Arabidopsis thaliana: one gene and its partners. The protein of the gene in region 4 purifies or fractionates together with the protein of the main gene of each other region. This does not show direct contact. Each region holds a gene or a part of one and is shown on either strand. Other genes may lie near its edges.

What was found.
Region 1: the proteins of AT1G72810 (region 4) and AT3G23940 fractionate together in Arabidopsis thaliana (co-fractionation; one large-scale study listed by BioGRID). This does not show direct contact.
Region 2: the proteins of AT1G72810 (region 4) and GME fractionate together in Arabidopsis thaliana (co-fractionation; one large-scale study listed by BioGRID). This does not show direct contact.
Region 3: the proteins of AT1G72810 (region 4) and IMD2 fractionate together in Arabidopsis thaliana (co-fractionation; one large-scale study listed by BioGRID). This does not show direct contact.

The regions. Positions count from the first base shown.
Region 1 is NC_003074.8:8,646,639-8,653,116, reverse strand, and holds AT3G23940 (dehydratase family), read right to left. Parts: upstream 4,449-6,478; 5' UTR 4,338-4,448; coding exon 3,810-4,337; intron 3,712-3,809; coding exon 3,640-3,711; intron 3,540-3,639; coding exon 3,492-3,539; intron 3,319-3,491; coding exon 3,164-3,318; intron 2,995-3,163; coding exon 2,800-2,994; intron 2,723-2,799; coding exon 2,611-2,722; intron 2,527-2,610; coding exon 2,457-2,526; intron 2,371-2,456; coding exon 2,312-2,370; intron 2,204-2,311; coding exon 2,080-2,203; intron 1,986-2,079; coding exon 1,915-1,985; intron 1,836-1,914; coding exon 1,734-1,835; intron 1,523-1,733; coding exon 1,442-1,522; intron 1,100-1,441; coding exon 941-1,099; intron 845-940; coding exon 794-844; 3' UTR 512-793; downstream 1-511. Other genes in the region: AT3G23950 (F-box family protein), read left to right, coding at 1-209; AT3G23930 (troponin T, skeletal protein), read right to left, coding at 5,342-5,625, 5,699-6,089. UniProt on the Arabidopsis thaliana protein: Functions in the biosynthesis of branched-chain amino acids.
Region 2 is NC_003076.8:10,861,476-10,866,694, forward strand, and holds GME (GDP-D-mannose 3',5'-epimerase), read right to left. Parts: upstream 3,472-5,219; 5' UTR 3,251-3,471; intron 2,570-3,250; exon of another isoform or gene 2,551-2,569; 5' UTR 2,550-2,550; coding exon 2,140-2,549; intron 2,054-2,139; coding exon 1,957-2,053; intron 1,880-1,956; coding exon 1,750-1,879; intron 1,664-1,749; coding exon 1,531-1,663; intron 1,453-1,530; coding exon 1,245-1,452; intron 1,153-1,244; coding exon 997-1,152; 3' UTR 541-996; downstream 1-540. UniProt on the Arabidopsis thaliana protein: Catalyzes a reversible epimerization of GDP-D-mannose that precedes the committed step in the biosynthesis of vitamin C (L-ascorbate), resulting in the hydrolysis of the highly energetic glycosyl-pyrophosphoryl linkage.
Region 3 is NC_003070.9:30,285,851-30,290,841, reverse strand, and holds IMD2 (isopropylmalate dehydrogenase 2), read right to left. Parts: upstream 3,080-4,991; 5' UTR 3,010-3,079; coding exon 2,793-3,009; intron 2,594-2,792; coding exon 2,464-2,593; intron 2,355-2,463; coding exon 2,243-2,354; intron 2,165-2,242; coding exon 2,089-2,164; intron 1,999-2,088; coding exon 1,910-1,998; intron 1,818-1,909; coding exon 1,731-1,817; intron 1,641-1,730; coding exon 1,524-1,640; intron 1,434-1,523; coding exon 1,326-1,433; intron 1,245-1,325; coding exon 1,191-1,244; intron 1,085-1,190; coding exon 932-1,084; intron 791-931; coding exon 716-790; 3' UTR 543-715; downstream 1-542. Other genes in the region: AT1G80570 (RNI-like superfamily protein), read right to left, coding at 1-22, 151-181; AT1G80555 (Isocitrate/isopropylmalate dehydrogenase family protein), read right to left, coding at 3,103-3,349, 3,424-3,553, 3,626-3,836; AT1G80550 (Pentatricopeptide repeat (PPR) superfamily protein), read left to right, coding at 4,138-4,991. UniProt on the Arabidopsis thaliana protein: Involved in leucine biosynthesis; catalyzes the oxidative decarboxylation step in leucine biosynthesis (primary metabolism). Catalyzes the oxidation of 3-carboxy-2-hydroxy-4-methylpentanoate (3-isopropylmalate, 3-IPM) to 3-carboxy-4-methyl-2-oxopentanoate.
Region 4 is NC_003070.9:27,397,365-27,402,458, forward strand, and holds AT1G72810 (Pyridoxal-5'-phosphate-dependent enzyme family protein), read right to left. Parts: upstream 3,111-5,094; 5' UTR 3,030-3,110; coding exon 2,418-3,029; intron 2,335-2,417; coding exon 1,396-2,334; 3' UTR 910-1,395; downstream 1-909. Other genes in the region: AT1G72800 (RNA-binding (RRM/RBD/RNP motifs) family protein), read left to right, coding at 1-909. UniProt on the Arabidopsis thaliana protein: Catalyzes the gamma-elimination of phosphate from L-phosphohomoserine and the beta-addition of water to produce L-threonine.

The DNA of each region.
Region 1 (6,478 bases), on a different chromosome or scaffold from region 4:
ATGTGTTTAGTCTTCACAAGGAATCCGAAGACGAGAGGAAGTGTATGGATGGTTGCACCTTGAGCTTTAACTGGTGCAACGAGTATATGGAGACCGTTCATAGATACTTTTCCCCATCGTTTCAAGGTGGTCCTAACCTTCTCCTCGCTTCACAGTATGTTCTCCCTCGTTGGTTGTCCCGTCTCCCTCGTCCACAGCCTTCTAATTAGTTTATATTGATTCTGTTTTAAGTTTGATATCAAATTTCAAATGTGAATGATTTTACAATTCTGTGAGATGTCATGCTCGAGCCTTTGAGACAAATACTTGCACCTTGATATAAATTGGTCGAATCAAATATTAATTACCATGCTCGAGTTTTACTATTCTTATGACCCTTATGTTGTCTCCTACAGAAACGAGAGAAAGACGATGAAAAGACTTGAAATCCAAGGAACCCAAGCCTTTAAGGTTAGTGGATTTCACATCTTTCTAAACCATGTAGAGAACGTCAAGCTTATTCACGCATAGCTGGTTTGCCACATTGGCTCTTAAGTTCAATCTCATAGACAAGTATTTATGCAAATCCGTCTTTATTCTGTCTTTATATTCTTTGGAATTCGGCCACAATCACAAGTTTTTATTTTGACATTTAAGAGAAACAAAATCTTAAAAACGAACCCTGCAAATAGCTAATGATCAGTCACAAAGTAACATGATCTAGAAGCTACAATAAATAAACTTACAAATTCCCTCATGAACGTACACTACATTCTGCTGCTCATTCACAAAACTCTCTCTTAGATCGTTCACTTTACTCGTCAGTCACACATCCATCTGAAGCCGATTGCACGTTCTTGATGTACTGTTTTTAGAATATCATAAACCATTCATTAGAAACTAATCCATCAGATGTCAAAGAGACATACATTATATAGATACAAGTGGATTCGTATAGTACCTTATATAGGACTCCGCGGTTAACCTTGTATGCAGGAGCAGTCCATTTCTTTCTACGGTCATTCATTTCTTCGGGTGAGACTTGTGTGTCTATTCTCTTCTTTCCTATGTCAATGGTGATTATGTCTCCGTTCTTGATCAGACCGATCGGACCACCCTCCTGCACAGATAAATAGTAAGCACACCGGAGAATTGCTTTCAGCATTATTATCTTCACATTCTCCAATCACATTAATATCAGTTTTATTATTTGAAATATTCCAAAATCATCATAACTGCATAAGAGCCACCACAAACTATTACAGGATCCCTTGACCCTTGTTCCTTTTTGCTAAAACTATATATGACTATGACCCAGTAGCATTTATTTTTCAATACACAAGAAAAATATCCCAGAAGAGGGACATGGATCTATCAAATTTATCTTGCAAGTGCAAAATTTAGAATTTTGCTCTGATGGAGCCAGTGGGCAGAGAGAAAAAAAAAAGGGAGAGAGAGAGACCTGAGCTTCAGGGCAAATGTGGCCAACAACAAAACCGTGTGACCCACCAGAGAACCTACCATCAGTCAGTAATGCACATTCCTGCATCACCCAATAGCAACATATTGGCACTTTATATAAGGTGTGTTCTCGGATATGGACAAAGTAGATAAAAAGATTTAGGTCACTACCATAAGCATAATATAGTCAGACCATATCAAAGGAAAAATAACGAGTTCTTTAATTTAGAACATAAAAATTGATCAGACTTAATAAATGTCTCACTAACCCAGTCATACTGGTCATATCATACCTTTCCAAGACCGGCACCCATTATTGCACTTGTCGGTGTCAACATCTCAGGCATACCTGGACCTCCTTTAGGCCCCTCTCCTCTGATAACAACCACAGTTCCCTGAAACACGATACATTTCATCAGATAAAAGATATATAACCAGCTCCTGAGATGAACTTCATATCAGAAAGGAAATTACCTTAAAACTCATTGGGTCTGCTGATATAGCAGCCAACATAGATTCCTCTCCTTCAAATACAAGTGCAGGACCTAAAATAAATAGTTCCATCATATAAGCCCTAATATTCAGAAGCATTAGCTAAATATGGAGTGTAAAGGAGGTACTAGAGTGAACCAACATTACCAGAGAAATATAAGCCCTCTTTGCCGGTAATTTTTGCTACAGAACCATCTGGTGCAAGGTCTCCTCTCAAAATTTGTATGTGTCCAGTCTCCTTGATTGGATTTGACAGAGGTCTAATTATCTCCTGGAACATTATCAGAATTAATTAGAATCCTGTATAACTAACAACCATCATAATCAAGAAGAAACAGGCGGTAGAATCTAATGAGATAACTAATAACATTACAAATACCTGCCCTTCTGTTAAGCTTGGGACGTTTTCTAAATTTTGAGCCAAAGTCTGCCCTGTCACTGGTAGAGATACAAAAGCGTAGTTATGCCATTTCACATCAATCCAAATTGCTAAGTCAGTTTATAAAATGTTTGAGCATTTCTACCTGTCATACAATCACCATCCATCAATCCTAGCTCTAATAAATAGCGGAGAACAGCTGGCGTACCACCTATCTGTAGATTAAACAACAAAACTTACAAACTGACCAATAAAAAAACAGATAAGTAATAAGCAAAACGATTTCGCCAAAGCCTTACCTTATGTATATCCTCCATAACATACTTCCCACTGGGTTTAAGATCTGCTAGAAATGGAACCGCATCGCTAACTTTCTGAAAATCGTCAAGAGTCAACTCCAAACCAACAGACCTGAAATCATTTCCATTCATTACTTCGGTCCATTGCTTTCCATGGTAATAATAAGAAACATCATAACAATCTGTCACCTTGCAATAGCAATTAGATGCAATACTGCATTTGTCGATCCCCCAAGGGCCATGACGGAAACCATTGCATTACGAAGTGATTTTGGAGTGATAATGTCACGGGGTTTTAAGTCCATCTTTAGCAATTCTAGAAGATATTTTCCTGCTAAGCGACACTCGTCCAACTTCAATGGGTCTTCAGCAGGTATTGAAGAACTTCAAAAAAAAAAGAAGAAGCAAATATATGAACTTTTGAAATAAGCATTCCACAATTACAGTTTAGGATCTACAATGTTCTTGTGGAAATAACTTTCTATTAAGCACAAATCTGGGAAAACGTTTGAAGTTGATTTATAAATGTGGTCTTCAGGACTGAAAGCCTCACCTGTAAGGAAGGGACATTCCCATTGCTTCGATAGCAGAAGCCATTGTATTCGCTGTGTACATGCCACCACAGGCTCCAGCTCCAGGACATGAATGATGGAGGACAGTCTTTCTCTGTTCATCACTTATGGAGCCACTAACAAATTCTCCATAACTCTGAAATACAAAATTGGAAAACATGATGAATCCCACAAGTACTGGTACAATTTGACACCAAAGTCACCAAGATTTCTGTAACTCAATCCCAAAATTGGAAAACTCAATGAAGTCTCATAAATACACATTAAAATTGTTATAACCAAGCTCGTAGCAGATAGAAGAAAAGATACCTGGAAAGCAGATACAATGTCATATGTCTTGTCTTGAAAATGGCCAGGCTGCAATAATATCAAAGCAAGGTGAATAGGCTATCCAACTAGGCACAAGGGTTTAGGGTTTAAGAAACTATCTTCTCATCAATTTGATAAAAGTAAGTACCTTAATGGTTCCACCATAAACCATAATCCCTGGTCTGTTAAGCCTTCCCATAGCCATAATAGTTCCAGGCATCTAAAAGTATTACAACAATAACATTATAGCAAACAAATCACATAAAACATGGAGATAAAGACAACACAAAGATCGATGATTAAAAAAAAAAAACTCACATTTTTATCACAACCGGGAATAGATATGTTACCATCATACCACTGAGCACTCATAACAGTCTCAATACTATCAGCAATCAAATCCCTAGATTGCAAACTAAAACACATCCCTCTCGTTCCCATCGAAATAGCATCACTCACACCAATAGTATTAAACCTAAACCCAACCATTCCTGCATTTTCAACTCCTTCTTTCACAGCCTCAGACAATTTCAGCAAATGCATGTTACAAGTGTTCCCTTCATACCAAACCGACGAGATACCAATCTGGGGTTTTAGCAAATCGTCGTCTGATAAACCAACACCGTGAAGAATTGCTTGAGACCCACCTTGGGATTTGGGTTCAGTGATTCTTGAGCTGTATTTGTTGAGCTTATTGGTGTCAGTGATAGGTGGTGAAGGATCAGCGGTTACGGATTGGGCGGAGCAGGAGATGATTGAGGGACGGCGAGAGTTGACATTGTGGGAAGGGAGGAGAGGTTTACAGGGGAAGAGAGTGGCGCGTGGAGAGAAGATGGTGGCTTGCATGACGGCGCGAGGAGGAAAGGGTTTAAAGAAGGGTTTTTTGGCGGCGCAGTGCGTGTGGAGGAGACACTTCAAAAGTGAAGACTTTGTGAGAGTGAGATAAAATGGTCAGGACTCTGAATTCAGATAGATACAGAAAAATAGGTTTTTTTGGTAATTTGTGAAAACGCTGTCGTTTAGCATAATTTGGGAAACAATTTGGTTTAACTCGCTGGTTTGGTATATGCGATTGCTTAAATAGTTATAATTAGGGGTGCAATAACCGGTTATTACAATTGTAGTGAAATAATTGGGTTAAAAATGGAATTGAAGACATAATAAATGGTTTTGGTTTCATATTTTTTTCATAATCAATATAGTAATAGAGATCAAACCAAGACAGAAAAAGAAGTAGAAATAAACCAATTAGAATTGTTTTTTTTTGTTAATGAAATATTGCTAAAATTAAATGCCGTAATCGAAGCAAAAATAAGAAATAAACCAACTAAAACTTCTTCTTTTTTACTACGGAAATTAAAGTAAATTTTGCTAAAAAGGATAAAACCCTAGCAGAAATCAAAATTGTACCAAACCGAACCACATGATATATTTCTTGTAGGATTCACTTCTTTATCTCATCTAACAAAAATTTGATAATTTTCAGTAACCGAACCGGAAGTTGGACATTCTTAATTAGAACTAGAAGTTTCTTGGGCTATAAAAAAGCAAGTGGTGTTTTAGACTTTTAGTGTCTAGTAAGTTTTTTTCCACAGTTTCTGTTCTTTGGAAAAATGGTTCATTATCATTATTGCTAAAGAATTGTATCTAACTCCAACAAAAAAAAAAAAAAACGATTTGTGCAAATCTTTCATGGGACATGTGCTTTTTGAACTCATAGTGCTATGATTTACTATATTTCCAAAATAAAAATTGTAAAATAACCAAAAGAGAAATAAATATGACATTGTGGATCAAGATTCTCTGACGAGATATGACTGTTTGCAGAAGACTATTTGAGTAAAAAGTGTTTATGTACATTCGACACATTTGGTCTTCAATATCAACAGATTCATTGATGCGAATGATCCTGTCTTCTTTTTCTTCTTGCTTCCAAGAATCCTTAGACTCTGTCTCAATAAGTCAATCTCTCTTTCTTTCTCATACTTTTGTCTATCCATCAAAACTATTTGCTCTTCAAGTGTCTCAACTGTCTCTTCTTTAACTCTAACTTCATCTCTCAATACTTCAACTCTCTTTGCTTCTGTTTCTTCTTCTTCTTGTTCCTCAAGTTTCCTTTGCATGATTGCTTCTCCTACAAACACACACTTTAAAGATCCTATTTACTTTTTCTAATTTTAAGTTGAAATAAGTTGAGTTTATTTTACCGGAGGAAGAAGTAGTGTGGGAGATGAGATGATCAAGCTCATTCTTGATAGCTAAATAGAGTTGTTTCCATTTCTCAACGGCTTCATCTCTCACTGCTCTCTCTACACACATCTCCTCAACCACCCACTTCCAATACTCTCTTTCCTCTGTTGTTGTTGTCTTTGCTTCTTCTCTTTCCTCTAGCTTCTTCCTTAGTCTTCTCACTTCCTCTCTCAGCTTCTTCCTCTCTTTTCTCCACTCTCTCTCCGCCTCTTTAAGCTGAAGAAACATCACTTTCTCTCTCTCATCTCTCTCTTTTATCAGGTGTCTTCTTCCTCTGCTTTGGTCTTTTGATGTCTCCTTCACACTTCTCACACCTCTCCTCTCTTGCTTGCTTGTGCATCCACCCATCTCTAATCCTTTTGGACACTTCTTCTTCTTCTTCTTATAACATGAAGAAGAATATGTTAATGAAGGAGAATCTCACTCTATCTCTCTGAAAGCTGTGTTCTTGTTTTATTTATGATGTAAAGAGCCTCTCTCCTACATTCAATGAAGAGAAGTCAAAATTGTATATGAAGAAGCTCCACTAGTACTACTACACTACCATTTATATATGGCCCTTTCTAAAAAGAGCATCTCAAAACAGTAACCTCTCTAGCTTTACTTTTTCACTCACTCACAAGTGTAAACACACTACAGTAAAAAAAGTGAAACTAAAAATTTGGTGGAATGGATGGAATAAATTAAGAGAGAAGTGATGGGAGATGTCAGAAGGGAAGGTGGAGAATTTTGTTAGA
Region 2 (5,219 bases), on a different chromosome or scaffold from region 4:
GCTTTTGCATATGATATAAAAGGTGATTTGGGCTCATTTGAGAAGCGACACGAAGAAGAGTGAGAGCAAGAGCAAAACCACAACAAAAAATTGGGTGATTGTTGAGTTGATGATTTGAAATATATCGATTGTCTTATTTTAGATGCATAAATGAATATTTGTAGTATGATGCTAACGTCAAAGATTTTTGAAAAAACACTGATAACATATATATTCAAAGAAGCTAACAATTGAGCCGAAAGTTGCTTAATTGTTTTGAGATTTTACTATGCTTTTCCTTTTGATTTAGTGGTTTTTTTCTTAGTTTTGGATTAAGTTTAAGCTTTATTTCCTTTGATATTATTTAAAATAATAAAAAAACATTATATGTTATGTTATAATAATATCGTCCTTATCTCATATTTGTTTTTTGATAAAATGTATATTCAAAATTTAAAATAGTAAATACGTTATTTTTCGGATCATCTCGAGTCTAAGACCAAATCTTAGAACATGGATAAAAATCTCAAATTTTAGATATTTTGCTGATCGGGAGAGTTGCATAAAAAAAGCAATATATAAACTTAAAACCTTATGATTTATTACGTGTGACATTTTTGACCGAGGAATGGGATAAAGAAGTGGATGGAAGAGAAAGAATGGTGAGTCACCGTGAGTGATCCCTAACCTCTAGAGATGTGTGAATAGATGATAAGATGCAAGAAAAAACACAAGCCACTTACTTGTACTGGTCCGTGAGAGGACCACGACATCAACTTGACTATGATGATAAACATACATACTGTGAATGAAAGGACCACAATAATATGATAACAGACTTAACAATGCAAGCAAACTTTTTCAACTAAACATAAACAAGGATTAGCAGAATAGAAGGAACCAAAATCCAAAACACTTATTATTGCTTTTTTAATAGGAAGCTACCTAAAAATATATCTAAACATTTTGCTGAACTTAAAAGGCCATATTTGAGCTTGACTTATACTTTGGTGAACTTCACTCTTTTCCATCAGCCGCGCGGAGTGAGCCTAGCTGAACCGGTGCTTGAGTTCCAACCACCTTTGATGACCCGTAAAGCGACACATCGCTTCCCTTTGCTTTCTCTTTCTCGATCTGTTCCTTTATCCAGAAGTAGGTTATTCTAAGCCCCTCCTGTTTAACGATTATGGTCAAAACAATATCAGTAATAAAAGAATTAGATTATTATCTTGTCTTTGAGCTACTTAAGTAAATAATGTTGGTACCTTCAATCTCATATTAGGAGCCCAACCAAGCTTTTCTTTGATCAGATTGTTGTCTGAGTTACGACCACGAACACCTTCCGGGCCAGGAATGTGGTGAATTGGAAGCTTCTTTTCCTCAAAGCTGAGAACCATCTCAGCCATCTCATTCATGCTCACCATCTCATCGCTTCCGATGTTCACCGGCTCACGGAAATCTGATTTTGTCAACCTATAAAACAAAAATGACGAAAATATCAGCCAATTACGTCTAACATACAACTTCATCAACATCAGGAGATACCCTCACCTGAGTACACCTTCAACACACTCATCGATAAAGGTAAAAGAACGGGTCTGAAGCCCATCTCCCCACATCTCAAACCTATCAGTGGAAGTCTGAGCCTTCCTACAGAAAGCAGCTGGAGCCTTCTCCCTTCCACCTAAGTTGATCCAAGCAAATATTAATCCCAATAGTAAACAACTAATCATTCACACAAAGTACGGAAACTGTTTATCTGTATACTACCTTTCCATGTTCCAAAAGGACCATAAATGTTATGGAACCTTCCAATTCGACACTCAATACCAAAATCTTTGTTGTAATGCTTACACAACTCCTCCGTAGCAAGCTTCTCCAAACCATAAGCATCTTGAGGCTATATCAGCATCAAAACATCACATAAGAAAAGACTCATAAATCTTTAGCAAGAACATATAAAAAATAATCACAAACCTCTGCAGGCCAAGCATCTGACTCCTTCAAGCTCACATTAGTAGTCTCCAACTGCTTAAACTCTGGATAGATACAAGCACTCGAAGCATAAAAGAACCTAAAGCAAACAAAAAATCCAATCTTTTTAACTTGTTTTAAGAAACCGTAAACTGCGAAAACCGAAGAAAACAAAATCTAACTAACCTCTTAATCCCATTGATCCTAGCAGCCTCAATCATATTGAAACTAATCATAGTATTATTATACATAATCACAGAGTGATTACTCTGGATAAAACCCATACCACCCATATCAGCAGCTAAGTTAAAAACATGATCAACTCCTTCAGTAACTTTGAGACAATTCTCCATAACCCTAAGATCAACAAGATGGAACTCATCACAGAACATGTCTTCAGTCATGTGTTCATTCTTTTTCCAGTCAGAAGCAATCACGTAATGACCTTCGTGCTTCAAACGACGAGCAATGTGAGATGCAATGAAACCTCCAGCTCCTGTTATTGATATCTTGAGATTCTCAGATGGCCAATATTGCTCTCTTTCTAGCTCCTTGTATGTGTATGCTCCATAGTCTGTTCCATTGGTAGTTCCCATTCTACATTAACAAAACAAATCTGTTAAAAACAATAAGATCTCTCATGCAAAAGCTAGACATCACTGTAGAGTCCTAATTTGTGATAAATTTCTATAAAAAAGATTTGGGATTTAGAGAGTTTTGACAGAGGTAAGATTATTGATGCATTGGATTCCGGCGTAAGTTAGCGAAAAACACAAAACTGCGAGGCGTAAGTTAGCCAAAAACACACAAAATTGCAAAACAAATCTGTTAAACACAATAAGATCTCTCATGCAAAAGCTAGAAATCACTGTAGAATCCTAATTTGTGATTAATTTCTGTAAAAAGATTTGGGATTTAGAGAGTTTTGACAGAGAATGCATTGGATTCGGTGTAAGTTAGTGAAAACACACAAAATTGCGACGCTTAAGTTAGCCAAAAACACACAAAATTGCAAAGAAATATGTTAAACACAATAAGATCTCTCATGCGAAAGCTAGAAATCACTGTGGAATCCTAATTTGTGATAAATTTCTGTAAAAAGATTTGGGATTTAGAGAGTTTTGACAGAGGATGCATTGGATTCGGCGTAAGTTAGCGAAAAACACAAAATTGCGAGGCGTAAATTAGCCAAAAACACAGAATTGCGAAATTCGGATCTCAGAGAAGTTTTGATTCAGGAATCTGGGATTTTAAAACCCTAGATTAGTGGAATTGTAAGGAAGATTGGATCTTTTACCTGAGGAAGGTTTTGGAGAGTTGGAGAGATCGAAGAGATAATGCAGAGAAGAGTCAGAGATTTGAGGAAGAGGAAGAGTAAACTTGTATTTATAGAGAGAGAACAGAAGAAGATGAAGAGGAAGATGGAGAGAGCAACACCACTCGTTGTTTTAGTTTTCCAACTCCTATTGGTATTTGTGCCTCTTTCTGTTAAATTTATTTTATAACTAATAAAATCCTTCGAAAAAAAAAATTAATACTTCTTTTGTAGAGAGTTTTTTAGAAAATAGGAGATTTTATAGAAGATTTATTACTTTTTATTAGGTTTGATGATTTATATTATGCATATTATTTTTACTATTTGTTGAATCGTATTTAGATAGATAATAAGAAATGTTTTAGTTTAGAAAAAAAAAAAAACTAAATATTTTCTTTATTGGTGCACCAAACAATTTCATAATTTTTTTATTTTCTAGCTTCAATATATAAAAATATTTGTAAATAATAAATATATGTATATTCTATATATTAATTGAGAAGTTTTTTTAATAAAATATTTATATTGGCGTGTTATTAACGAAACCGTCATGTTGTGATTCTAATCCATTTAAATAATTGTCCAAATTTTACTAGATTATTACAGATTTTTCAATTAGTCTTATTCATACATATATATAATACACATTAAAAGGAAATTCTTATAAAATTCAAATAATTAAGCAATTAATCTTTAAATAATTATTATTTTGAGAAAAATTACTTTAATTTTTGTTATTTTCTAATTAACTAAAACACTATTTAACATATTTTGTATTTGCAAATAATAGTACATCTTCATATATTAAGAAATGTGTTGTAATAAATTTTTATTAAATATATAATTATTTTGTTATTTTAGTGATATATACTGTATTGAATAATTATAATGTACACATAAAAATATAAAATATTATTTATGTTTGTTTATGACATAAGAGCAACCATAAGTCCATTTTTGGAGTTTGAAACTGAAGAGTAAATTAGAAAAAAAAATCTTAAATTAAAATATAATATAAGTTAGATTGATGTTAAAAATTATTTATATAGTTATAGTATATATATAACCTAAACTATATTAGTTGGTTGAAATATTTGAAATAATAATGATTTTAGTAGTATTTTAAAGTTCATAACAATCAAACGGTCGAACCGAGATCAAACTGATTCGAGTTAATGGTCAGGTAGATTTTTATTAAACTTGTAAACTATCAAACCGTATATAAAACCATTAAAATGATTAAATACGTTTGCGAGAAATATAAATATTTAGAGATAGGCGTAATTCTCATTCAATTTTATCATGTTCCATTATATCTTACTCGTTCTCCAATTTATTTCTCATAAGAGAATGCATTTCTAATATGAGAAAAAATTTGTATTCCGATTAGAAACAGAACGTGATGGAAGCAAAAATTCTCTATATCCTGTTTGGGACAAACACAAATATAATTCATGTATATTTTTATATGATATGATATAATAAAAATATTACAAAATTAATTGACTTCTTTCTTCTTATTGTTTAATATTTTGTTCATAAATATTAAATTACATTTGTTTATTTTTAAATTTTAACTATTATAAAGCATACTATAATAACATTTATTATTTTGAGCATTTTTATGCTGTATAAATTGAAAACACATGTTACATATTTGATTGCAAACGTTAATTTGCTTAAATTGTAACTTGTTGTAATCTAAAAGCTATGTTTTTATCCCGTGTTGGCTCCTTCTATGTCGTTCCTTTTTCGTCATTCCTATTCTCGTTATATTACATTAAATATCATGTTCCGAGTTCATTTTTACTTATCTTTAAACACAATACCAGATACAGCTGTAACTTTTGGGGATTAACATATGCTTTGTTAAAATTTGTAAACATACCATAAATTAAAACATGAAAACAAATTGAAAAAATAAATGATCTATCAACTATAATATGTCATA
Region 3 (4,991 bases), 2.9 Mb from region 4:
GGCAATTCATCCATTTGTCTATCTGTGTGAACAAAAAAGGATCAAAGCCTAACATGTCAAGTGAAAAGTCCACCTTGAAAACACAAAACAGAGCTTTGATGGAACTCAGAGATTATGCAGAAAAACGAAGGCGTTTGACTTTTTACTTACCACCACCAAGATACGCAATCCCAATGAACATTCAAAAAGCCATGAAAATTTCCAGAAACAAAATTGATAAGATAGAAATAAAAAACAGAGGAAAAACTCATCAGAGATGTCTAAATTGTGAATTAGTTCCCAAGCAGAGATTTAGATTTCTTGAACATAATAATGAATAATCAAGAAATAACAAAAATTCACATCCTTGATTCATCGATTAAACTCAGCTCTAAAAGTAGGCTTGCCATGAAACAGAAATCAGAGGAAAAAGATCTCACCGGAAAGAGCGAAAACTCTTGCGACGTTTGACCACACTCGGCGCCGGATAAGGACTACGGGGGAGATTGAATCTTTTTTGTCTCTCTAATTTTTGGCTTTTTGAGTGATACTCTGACACGTCATTATCTCCACAAGGATATTTATTTCTCAGAAAAAAACATCAACGTTTCAGTTCGATCAAATAAGTCCCTCTAATAATCTCACATTATAAAAATCGCTAATAAAACCGAGACTCTTTGAGTACAAGGTACAACATTTGTTGTTGGAAATGAACTCTTCAAAGTTTCTACAAATATTAAACAGAAGCTGGAACTTGGGAGTCCACTGACTTCAGAACCTCCTCTCCCATCTCCTTGCAGCCCACCAGTTTCTGATCATACCCCATACAAAAAGACAAAAAAATATTACTACTGTTTGTTGTTGCCTGCTTGTTTAAACGTTTCTCAAACACTAACTCGGGACGTTTTTAAGGAAAAGGAAACATGTTATAAGAGTGGTTCAAGAAACATACTGTTCCCGCGGAGTATATGTCTCCAGTTCTGAATCCGTTGTTCAGAGCAACCAACACTGCGTCTTCAATTCTCTTGGCTGCCTTTTCTTCTCCAAGTCCGTATTTCAGAAGCATTGCAGCGCTTAGAATGGTTGCCAATGGGTTTGCCTTATCCTGAAAATTCAAAGAATCAACAAGTTGTGCTCTTTGATTTTGGCATTAAACTAGTTTTGATATCAGGGAACAAAAACCGTGTTTGTTTGAAGGATAGAGTTAGAACCTGTCCAGCAATATCAGGTGCAGAACCATGTATAGGTTCAAAGAGTCCAGGTCCCTGTATTACACATGGCGGGTTTATGTTCAGACTAGATCATACTGCTTGCATACTAAAAGATCATATTATTTTATATCATACCGAATCACTGAGACTAGCAGATGGCAGCATTCCTATGCTTCCTGTGATCATTGAAGCTTCATCGGATAATATATCACCAAAAATGTTGTTTGTGACGATGGTGTCAAACTGCATTTATCAAACAATCAAATAATTGCAAGGATTTACACCTGTCGCACATCAAAGCTGACTAGTTTGGCAAATACAAAGTACACGTACCTGTTTTGGGTCACGAACAAGCTGCATCGCGGCATTGTCAACATACATATGTGACAGCTCAACATCAGGATATTCAGAGGCTAATGCTGTTACTCGTTTCCTCCATAAGATTGAGGCCTGCATATAAAAAAATTCAGTGTTATGTTCGTTCCACAGGAAACAAGAGAGAGGAAAACAAGTCAAAGAAAACATAATTATCAACCGCACTTCCAAAACATTAGCTTTGTCAACAGAACACAGCTTGCCACGCCGTTTCCGAGCAGTCTCGAAGGCAACACGAGCAATTCTATCAATCTGACGAACATACAAAATGCTTTATTAGATTTGACCCTAGTACTTAACAATCAGTCCACGGAAATCTGCATCTGAGATTTTCAATAGAGTACCTCGTGAGCAGCATAAACCTCAGTATTAAACCCAACTTCCTCGCCATTTTCATTGGTCTTTATGCCCCTTGGCTCTCCAAAGTAAATACCTGTTACCATGAGACATGACATTTTATAAGATATTGTCACACGAGAAAGACAAGAATTACGATCAATTTTTAATAAGTAATAAAACTGACCTCCTGTAAGCTCCCTTACAACCATTAGATCAACACCTTCTGCTACCTCTCTCTTTAAGGTGGAAGCATCCACTAACTGTATAAAAACAACAAAATTAGAGTTTCACACAAGAAACAAAGTTCAGGCAACCAAGAAATCTCTGAGGATGGTCACCTGTGGGAGGACTGTAGCAGGTCTCAGATTTGCAAAGACTTTGAGAGCTGCACGAATCTGAAGTAACCCCTTCTCAGGCCTCAGATGTTTTTCATTGTTATCCCATTTGTACCTTAAGTTATTATTATACCAACATGAGAAAATGACTAAATGAGAAACTGTATTTCCCAAAACAATAATTAAGAGCCAACAAGATTAGTGGGAAAAGAGAGAAGACAGACCCTCCAATGGCTCCAAGAAGCACTGCATCTGATTCTTTTGCAGCTGAGATAGTCTCCTCCGGCAAGGGCACTCCGACCAAATCCAAAGCAGCTCCTCCAATGGGCATCTCACGGAAGTTAAATTCCACTCCTGATACAGAGCACAGACGCAATGTATTAGGCAATCTCCGTGGCCTTTGAGCCCAACCCACGATTGTAAATCCCATTCAAAATCTCGCCAATTTCTAATGCTCACATCTTTCAATTCCAAGCAGAAAACAGTAGTCCCCAATTGAAATGAAACAGCAACTAAATTAAATAAGAAAGGGAACAAGAGAGAGAGAGAGAACCTTCCAAAGATCCAGCTTGCTGAAGCACATTTTTGGCAATGGAGACAACCTCCGGACCGATGCCGTCTCCGGGAAGGAGAGTGATGGTGTATCGTTTTTTACCAGGGGAAGCAACAGCACATCTTACTCTAAAGGGTGCCAATGACTGTTTACTTACAGCTCTGAACGTAGCCGGAACCTTGACCGTCCGGATATTCGTCTGCAGAGCCGCCGCCATTTCAGGGAGAAAGGATTGATTGGTCTTTTTCGGATTTTGAAACCGCAAGTCAAATGGATACTACTAGTACACTCAGACTTTACTTCTTTGCATTTATGGGTCCTTTTTTGCACATTGTTTTATTTTCAGAATTGACCCCAAAGTTTTTAATTTTGTAAATGGACACCTTACATTACCACATACAACATATATATATATATATATATATATATATATATATCCATTTATTAGCAGCACCTCACAGAAGAAGGAGGGCTCATCAAATACTTGAAGAGCCGCACGAAGCTGCAACAAGGCCGTTATCGGCTTCAAATGCTTGGGATTGTTATCCCATTTCGGCCTTCAATTCAAAAATCCAAACTTTAGATGAATCCAAACTTGAGATGAACGAAAGTTATGGTAATAATACCATACCATCCAACAGCTCCGAGAAGAAGAGCGTCTGATTGCTTTGCCCTGATCAATGTTTCCTTAGGCAGTGGAACTCCGACAAGATCTAAAGCAACACCTCCTATAGGCAACTCCTCGAAGCTAAAATCTATCCCTGATATCCAAAAACACGATTTCAGTTGGGAAAATCAAATTAAATTAGGCAACAGGATGAGAAAGAAGGAACCTTCAAGAGACCCAGCTAAACAAAGAACGTCAACAGCGACTGGGATCACTTCGTTACCGACGCCATCGCCGGGAAGAACCGCGATGGTGTACCGTTTCTTTGGAGTGTTGGCGGCACATCTGATCACAGAAGCTCTCCTAAAGCTCTGTTTGGTTGCGGACATAAACGCAACCGGAATCTGGGTACTGCTGACGTGGATGACTCCCGCCATTTACTACAACAAAGACTACAAGGAGACCTGGAAAGAACTTTTGTGTTTATAATCAAACCAATATTAACCGTTCGATTATTTATTTTCACCTCTGGATGGCTCAATTATGATGGGCCTAAGAAAGATTCGTAGAAGATAGATCGGCCCAAATGTTCCAAATATTAACACAAGTCCAGCGGGCTTTGGGCCCATAAATGGTATTCGGGTCAGATTTTAAAATGGGTATTCGGGTCAAAATTCGCCCGTTAGATGATGAACCCTAATTTCGTGTGTACAGGGAGCGGAGAGGGGAAACAAGAGAATGCTCTTGTTGCGGCGACTCAATCGAGTTCGGATTGCTTCCCCTTACTCCGTTCGGCTTCTGTCAGTAAAACCTATTTCAAATGTCGATGATGCGAAGTTTCGATCTCAGGAAGAAGAAGATCAGTCCAGTTACGATCAGAAAACAGTATGCGAAGCTCTCACATGTTACAGCAACGATTGGCAAAAGGCGTTGGAGTTTTTCAACTGGGTCGAGAGAGAATCCGGATTCAGACATACCACCGAGACATTCAATCGGGTGATCGATATTCTGGGTAAGTATTTCGAGTTTGAAATTTCTTGGGCTTTGATTAACCGCATGATCGGAAACACGGAATCTGTGCCGAATCACGTCACGTTTCGTATAGTCTTTAAGCGTTATGTGACGGCTCATCTTGTTCAGGAGGCTATTGATGCGTATGATAAATTGGATGATTTCAATTTGAGAGATGAAACATCATTTTATAATCTGGTCGATGCGCTTTGCGAGCATAAACATGTGGTTGAAGCTGAAGAGCTTTGTTTTGGGAAGAATGTCATTGGTAATGGTTTTAGTGTGAGTAATACTAAGATTCATAATCTGATTCTTCGTGGGTGGTCGAAATTGGGATGGTGGGGTAAATGCAAGGAGTATTGGAAGAAGATGGATACTGAAGGTGTTACTAAGGATCTTTTTTCGTATTCCATTTACATGGATATCATGTGCAAGAGCGGGAAACCGTGGAAAGCTGTGAAGTTGTATAAGGAAATGAAGAGTAGAAGGATGAAACTCGATGTGGTTGCTTATAACACTGTGATTCGAGCCATTGGAGCGTCGCAAGGTGTTGAATTCGGTATCAGGGTATTTCGGGAGAT
Region 4 (5,094 bases):
GATCAGACGGAGATCACGAAAGTATCCGTCTTGAAAAACCTTGATGAGAAGGAGATGATCAAAGAATTCGCTGATCGTCTTCAGCGTCTCGAAGCAAAGGTGGATTTGTTGGTAACAAAGGCGGATTTGTTGGCAATAAAGGCGGATATACAGGAGCTTCTCATCTCAGCCAAGGGTGAGAAAGTTCCTGCCATGAAGACTTCTGCTAAGGCTTCTTCTGAGAGCGATGACTCATACATGGACACTTCTTCGGAGGATGAATCGTCTTCTGCTGAGGAACCTGTAAACAAACCTGCTGCAAGTGCCGCCAAGCCAGCTACTAAAGATTCTTTATTCTCTGCTGGTTTCAAGCCAGCTGCTAAAGATTCTTTATTCTCTGCTGGTTTCAAGCCAGATTCTTTATTCTCTGCTGGTTTCGAGCCAGCTGCTAAAGATTCTTTATTCTCTGCTGGTTTCAAGCCAGGTTCTTTATTCTCTGCTGGTTTCGAGCCAGCTGCTAAAGATTCTTTATTCTCTGCTGGTTTCAAGCCAGATTCTTTATTCTCTGTTGGTGTCAAGCCAGCTGCTAAAGATTCTTTATTTTCTGTTGGTGTCAATGGTCGATCGTTCTCTGTTACGGGATTTGACGCTTCCCTTCCTGTGGATGATATAAAGAGCGCATTGAGTAAATATTTCAGTTCTTTTGGGGAGATCACACGCGTATTTGTTCCCCCAAGCCACGGAACCGGTGGTTCCTTAGGATATGCTTACATTGATCTGAAAGAAGGAGCAGAGAAGGCGTTGGAACTTGGTAGACATGACGTGGGAGGATGGGATCTTGTAGTTGGTAAGGCTGAACCGATTCGCAGTGGAAGTACTTGGCCTTTTCCTGGCCGTTGTGGTAATCAGGGCCGTTGTACCTTCTGTTGAAGGCTTGAACCTTTGGTAGTGCATGAAGGAAGAGACTGCTCGTGGAACTAGATCACCTAGTTTTACTCCCTAAAGTAAGAAGACTACCTAGAAGAAGAGGAACGTTTTAAATTTGTATTACTTGGGAGTTTTTTCTTATGTTCTAGTTAAGTTTTTGACCCAATGTTAATGTTAACTCAATTTTGAGTTCTTTTGGTTTTAAATAAGATGAAAAAAATTCTTGAAGTTAATTTTCTAGATAAGTTTATTGTTTCTTAAAAGATTTAAAAGAAGAGGTTAAAAGACAGGTCGTGAGTACTTTTGTTAAGAGCATATGTAAAACTCAGTAGTAGTTTGATATGAAACAACTAGCGAGCATCACGGAACCAACCAGTCGTTTTATTCCACAAGTCCAAAGAAACGAAATTTCATTACTTCCTCTAATAACAAAGCCAACAATATCATCATAGGACGTGAAGAGCTTTAGAAGAAACAAACACACAAAGCTTATTTATCATTGCTCTTCAAATACTCCTTGAGAACATCCATAACTGAACCAAACTTTGCCTTAACCTTCACTGGTGGATTCGCCAATCTACAAGCCATCTCCTTTATGTTCTTAGAATGATAATCAATCTTACTTTGTGTAAACTTCAATCCATGAGCTGTACTCACCACCACAGTCCGATCATTCGCTCCAATAACTCCTGACTTTCTCAGCTTCATCAACGCCGTCAATGCAACACCAGTATGTGGACATATAAACATACCAGTAGAATCAGCAAGAGCTGTTGCATCCATCAACTCTTCCTCTGTAGCTTCCTCAACAATCCCATTAGATTTCTTCAACGCATACACAGCTCTATCAATCGAAACAGGGTCACCAATCTGAATAGCAGAAGCAAATGTAGTGTTTGCTTTCAATGGATTGAAATCTTCTTTAAACCCAGATTTGTAATGCAAGTAAAGTGGATTTGCATTAGCAGCTTGAGCACAAACAAGCCTAGGGATACGATCAACAAGACCTAACTCTTTACACATATGAAACCCTTTGTAAAACGCATAGATGTTACCAAGATTGCCTCCAGGAACAATGACCCAATCAGGAACTTGCCAATTAAACTGCTGCAGAATCTCAATCGCCGCCGTCTTTTGACCTTCGAGACGGAGGCTGTTGAGAGAGTTCGCCAAGTAAATAGGAAGCTCCGCCGTAACTTCTCTGATCAAATGCATACATCCGTCAAAATCAGTGTCAATACTAAGCACAAACGCTCCGTTTGCAATCGGCTGCACAAGCTGAGCCATGGAGATTTTATCCGCAGGTAAGAAGACAATCGAGGGGATTCCAGCGGAAGCACAGTAAGCAGAGAGAGCAGCGGAGGTATCTCCAGTAGAAGCGCAACCAACTCCGATGACTGGTTTGTTCATTTTCCGGAGACGATTCACCTGAGAAACAAAAAAATAACATAAAGTTGTAAACTTTATTGAAGATGGTTATACAGTTGTAAACTTTATGAAAGATGATTCACCTGAGAAACGAGAACACTCATGCCCAGATCTTTAAAGGAGCCAGTGTGGCTGATTCCACAATGTTTCACCCAAAGATCGTTCATTTGCAGATACTGTTTACCAAATCTCTCAGCCCAGAAGAGATTTGAGTTTCCTTCAAAAGCAGAGACGATGTCGTCATCGTCGATCTCGGGGAGTACCCACTCTTTCTTCGACCACACGCCTGATCCGTACGGCCAATTTGTTTTACCGACGCGAGAATCGAAAAGGTTACGCCAGAATTCTCCGTCGTAGCGTTTCAAGGCGGCGAAATCATGCTGGACGTCGAGGAGAGCACCGGATTGTGAACGGTAGACGATCTCGTCGAGGGAGTAGGATTCTGTTGAAGAAGGTGGAGCGTTGAAAGGGACGTAACGTGCGGAGAGGTTTTGGAGTTGATGAGGACGGCGACGAGCTTCGTCTCGAATGTTCTCATCGGGTGAACGACGGGGTTTCTGTGGAGTCTGTGGAGGAACGGCGGGAGAGGCGGAGGTGCAACGGACGGTGAAGGAAGCGGCGGAGTGAGGTTTAAGTGAGGTTTCAGAGTGGGAAGGAAAGTAGGTGGCGGAGTGGGGAAGAGAGAATGAGGCCATTATGAGTGAGAGAGAGAGTAAAGTGAAGAGTTTGATGATATTGATTGGATAGAAGAATGATTGTTGACACCTTTAGTCACAAGTCACAAGTAATTTATTTATAACCTAATAAATATTGGGACGAAAGTATTCATTTATTGTTTGTTTTTCATTTGTCATTCCAATTTCCAAATTATGTATATATCTCTCTAGTCATGAATTTTCTTTTGATGGTAGAGAAAGCACCAGGGAGAAATGAATCTTTGACGTTCATGAATCTAGTGTGAATTTAGTGTTTAAGATATCAAATATGCAAAAAAAAAAAAAAAACACGTATGTATGGAGTACATGAGACATGTGCCACACATGAAGTATATTCTTATGAGTAAAATGTTACTATTATTTGTATGGATTATTAGTCATGAATTTTCTTTTGATGGTAGAGAAAGAAGCACTAGGGAGAAATGAATCTTTGACATTCATGAATCATGTGTAAATTTTAGTGTTTAAGATATCAAATATGCAACAACAAAAAAAAACACGAATGTATGGACTACATGAGACATGTGCCACACATGAAGTATATTCTTATGAGTAAAATATAATGTTACTATTATTTGTATCTATTGTTCTTTGTTCTTCTAATATATATTTGTGATTTCGTCCCATTTTATTAATCAAATAAATATATTACAAGCGACGGAAACAAAAAATAAATAATAAATGTCACTATCTTTTTGTCATTTTAAAGGACAAAAATAAATAATGAGATGAGACTATGAGAGCAACATTCATACAAAGTAGACGACACTTCATAGTTCATATTAATGTATATAGGTATGGAGTTTATGATCTTAACGTTTTTGGAAAAGAAAAAGAAAGTAAAGGACACCACTAGTTATGGGTCCTCCTTTTCGTCACATTGGGCGGATTGGGTCAAATATACAGTCATTGTGAAAAACCAGCCCAATAAGCTTATACTTCAAATAAAAGACTTGAATTAGAATTGATTCAAACTCTGAATACCTCAACTAACCGTTGTGTGTTCTCTCTAAATTTGGGTAATAGTGTTTTGGGGTTTGGGAGAGAACGACACAATAAATGAGAAGGGATCCCTTTTCTGTATTTTAAAGCGTTTTGATAGGGAACTTGAGAAATTTGATTTCATGATTCGTGTACTTTTTTGTTATGTTTGTGACTCGTGATCTTTTGCTCGATAAAAGCTTTCCATAGTTTTTGTTGGTGCTTTAGTCTGTGGAAACTGCTTATGATTTGGTTCTTTTATCTCCAAGTTGTGGGCTGAAATAATGGTCATCACCAGTTGATACAGAACCAACAGTGTTGTTCGTCACTCAAGCCCATCACAGCTATAATGTTCTTTTTGGAATCAAATCACATGGTTGGAATCAGTCTAAGCTTGTCTACTCACTTTAACATCTAATCTGTTGAAGATAAGGATTAACGATGTAATAAGTAAGCGTGGACCGAAAAAGAAATGTAGTATATGTTTAGGTAGTGGGCATTTCCAAATACTATAGTATTGATTTCTGTTGTATATTTGATTTGATACTAAAATATGTGAAACTCCCAAAGCTAATTAATACTATATTTTTGTAATCAAGTTATGTCAGTAAATGATACAACGACAGAAAAATGATTTCTGTTGGTGTTTGGTAGTATCATACTATTGTCCAAGGACCACCACTGTTCCTATAAATTTAGCATCTCTAGGAGGAACTCTGATAAATCTTTAGATTCTTTTTTCATAAAAAAAAATATAGCTCGAACGATAGTGGAAGTGTAACAGTGAAAAAGAATCAAAAATCACGTGACAGATCACGTGCCTCTCACACTGCCTTCTGCTCTCTTCTCTGCCCAACGACCCAAGGATATGGACGCCACGTCATCTTATCCAAATCACAAAAGCGGATCCATTTTCTCTCTCCTCTGTTGGGTCTGATCCGAGAACAAGATCTTAGCCGTTGTTTTCGATGACGACCTTTTAGCTTTTTTCTATCTCTGCCGTCGATCTTCTTCGTCTTCTAAGAGTGCTCCCAGTTTGTCGCTTTCTTTATCCGTAAGAGTT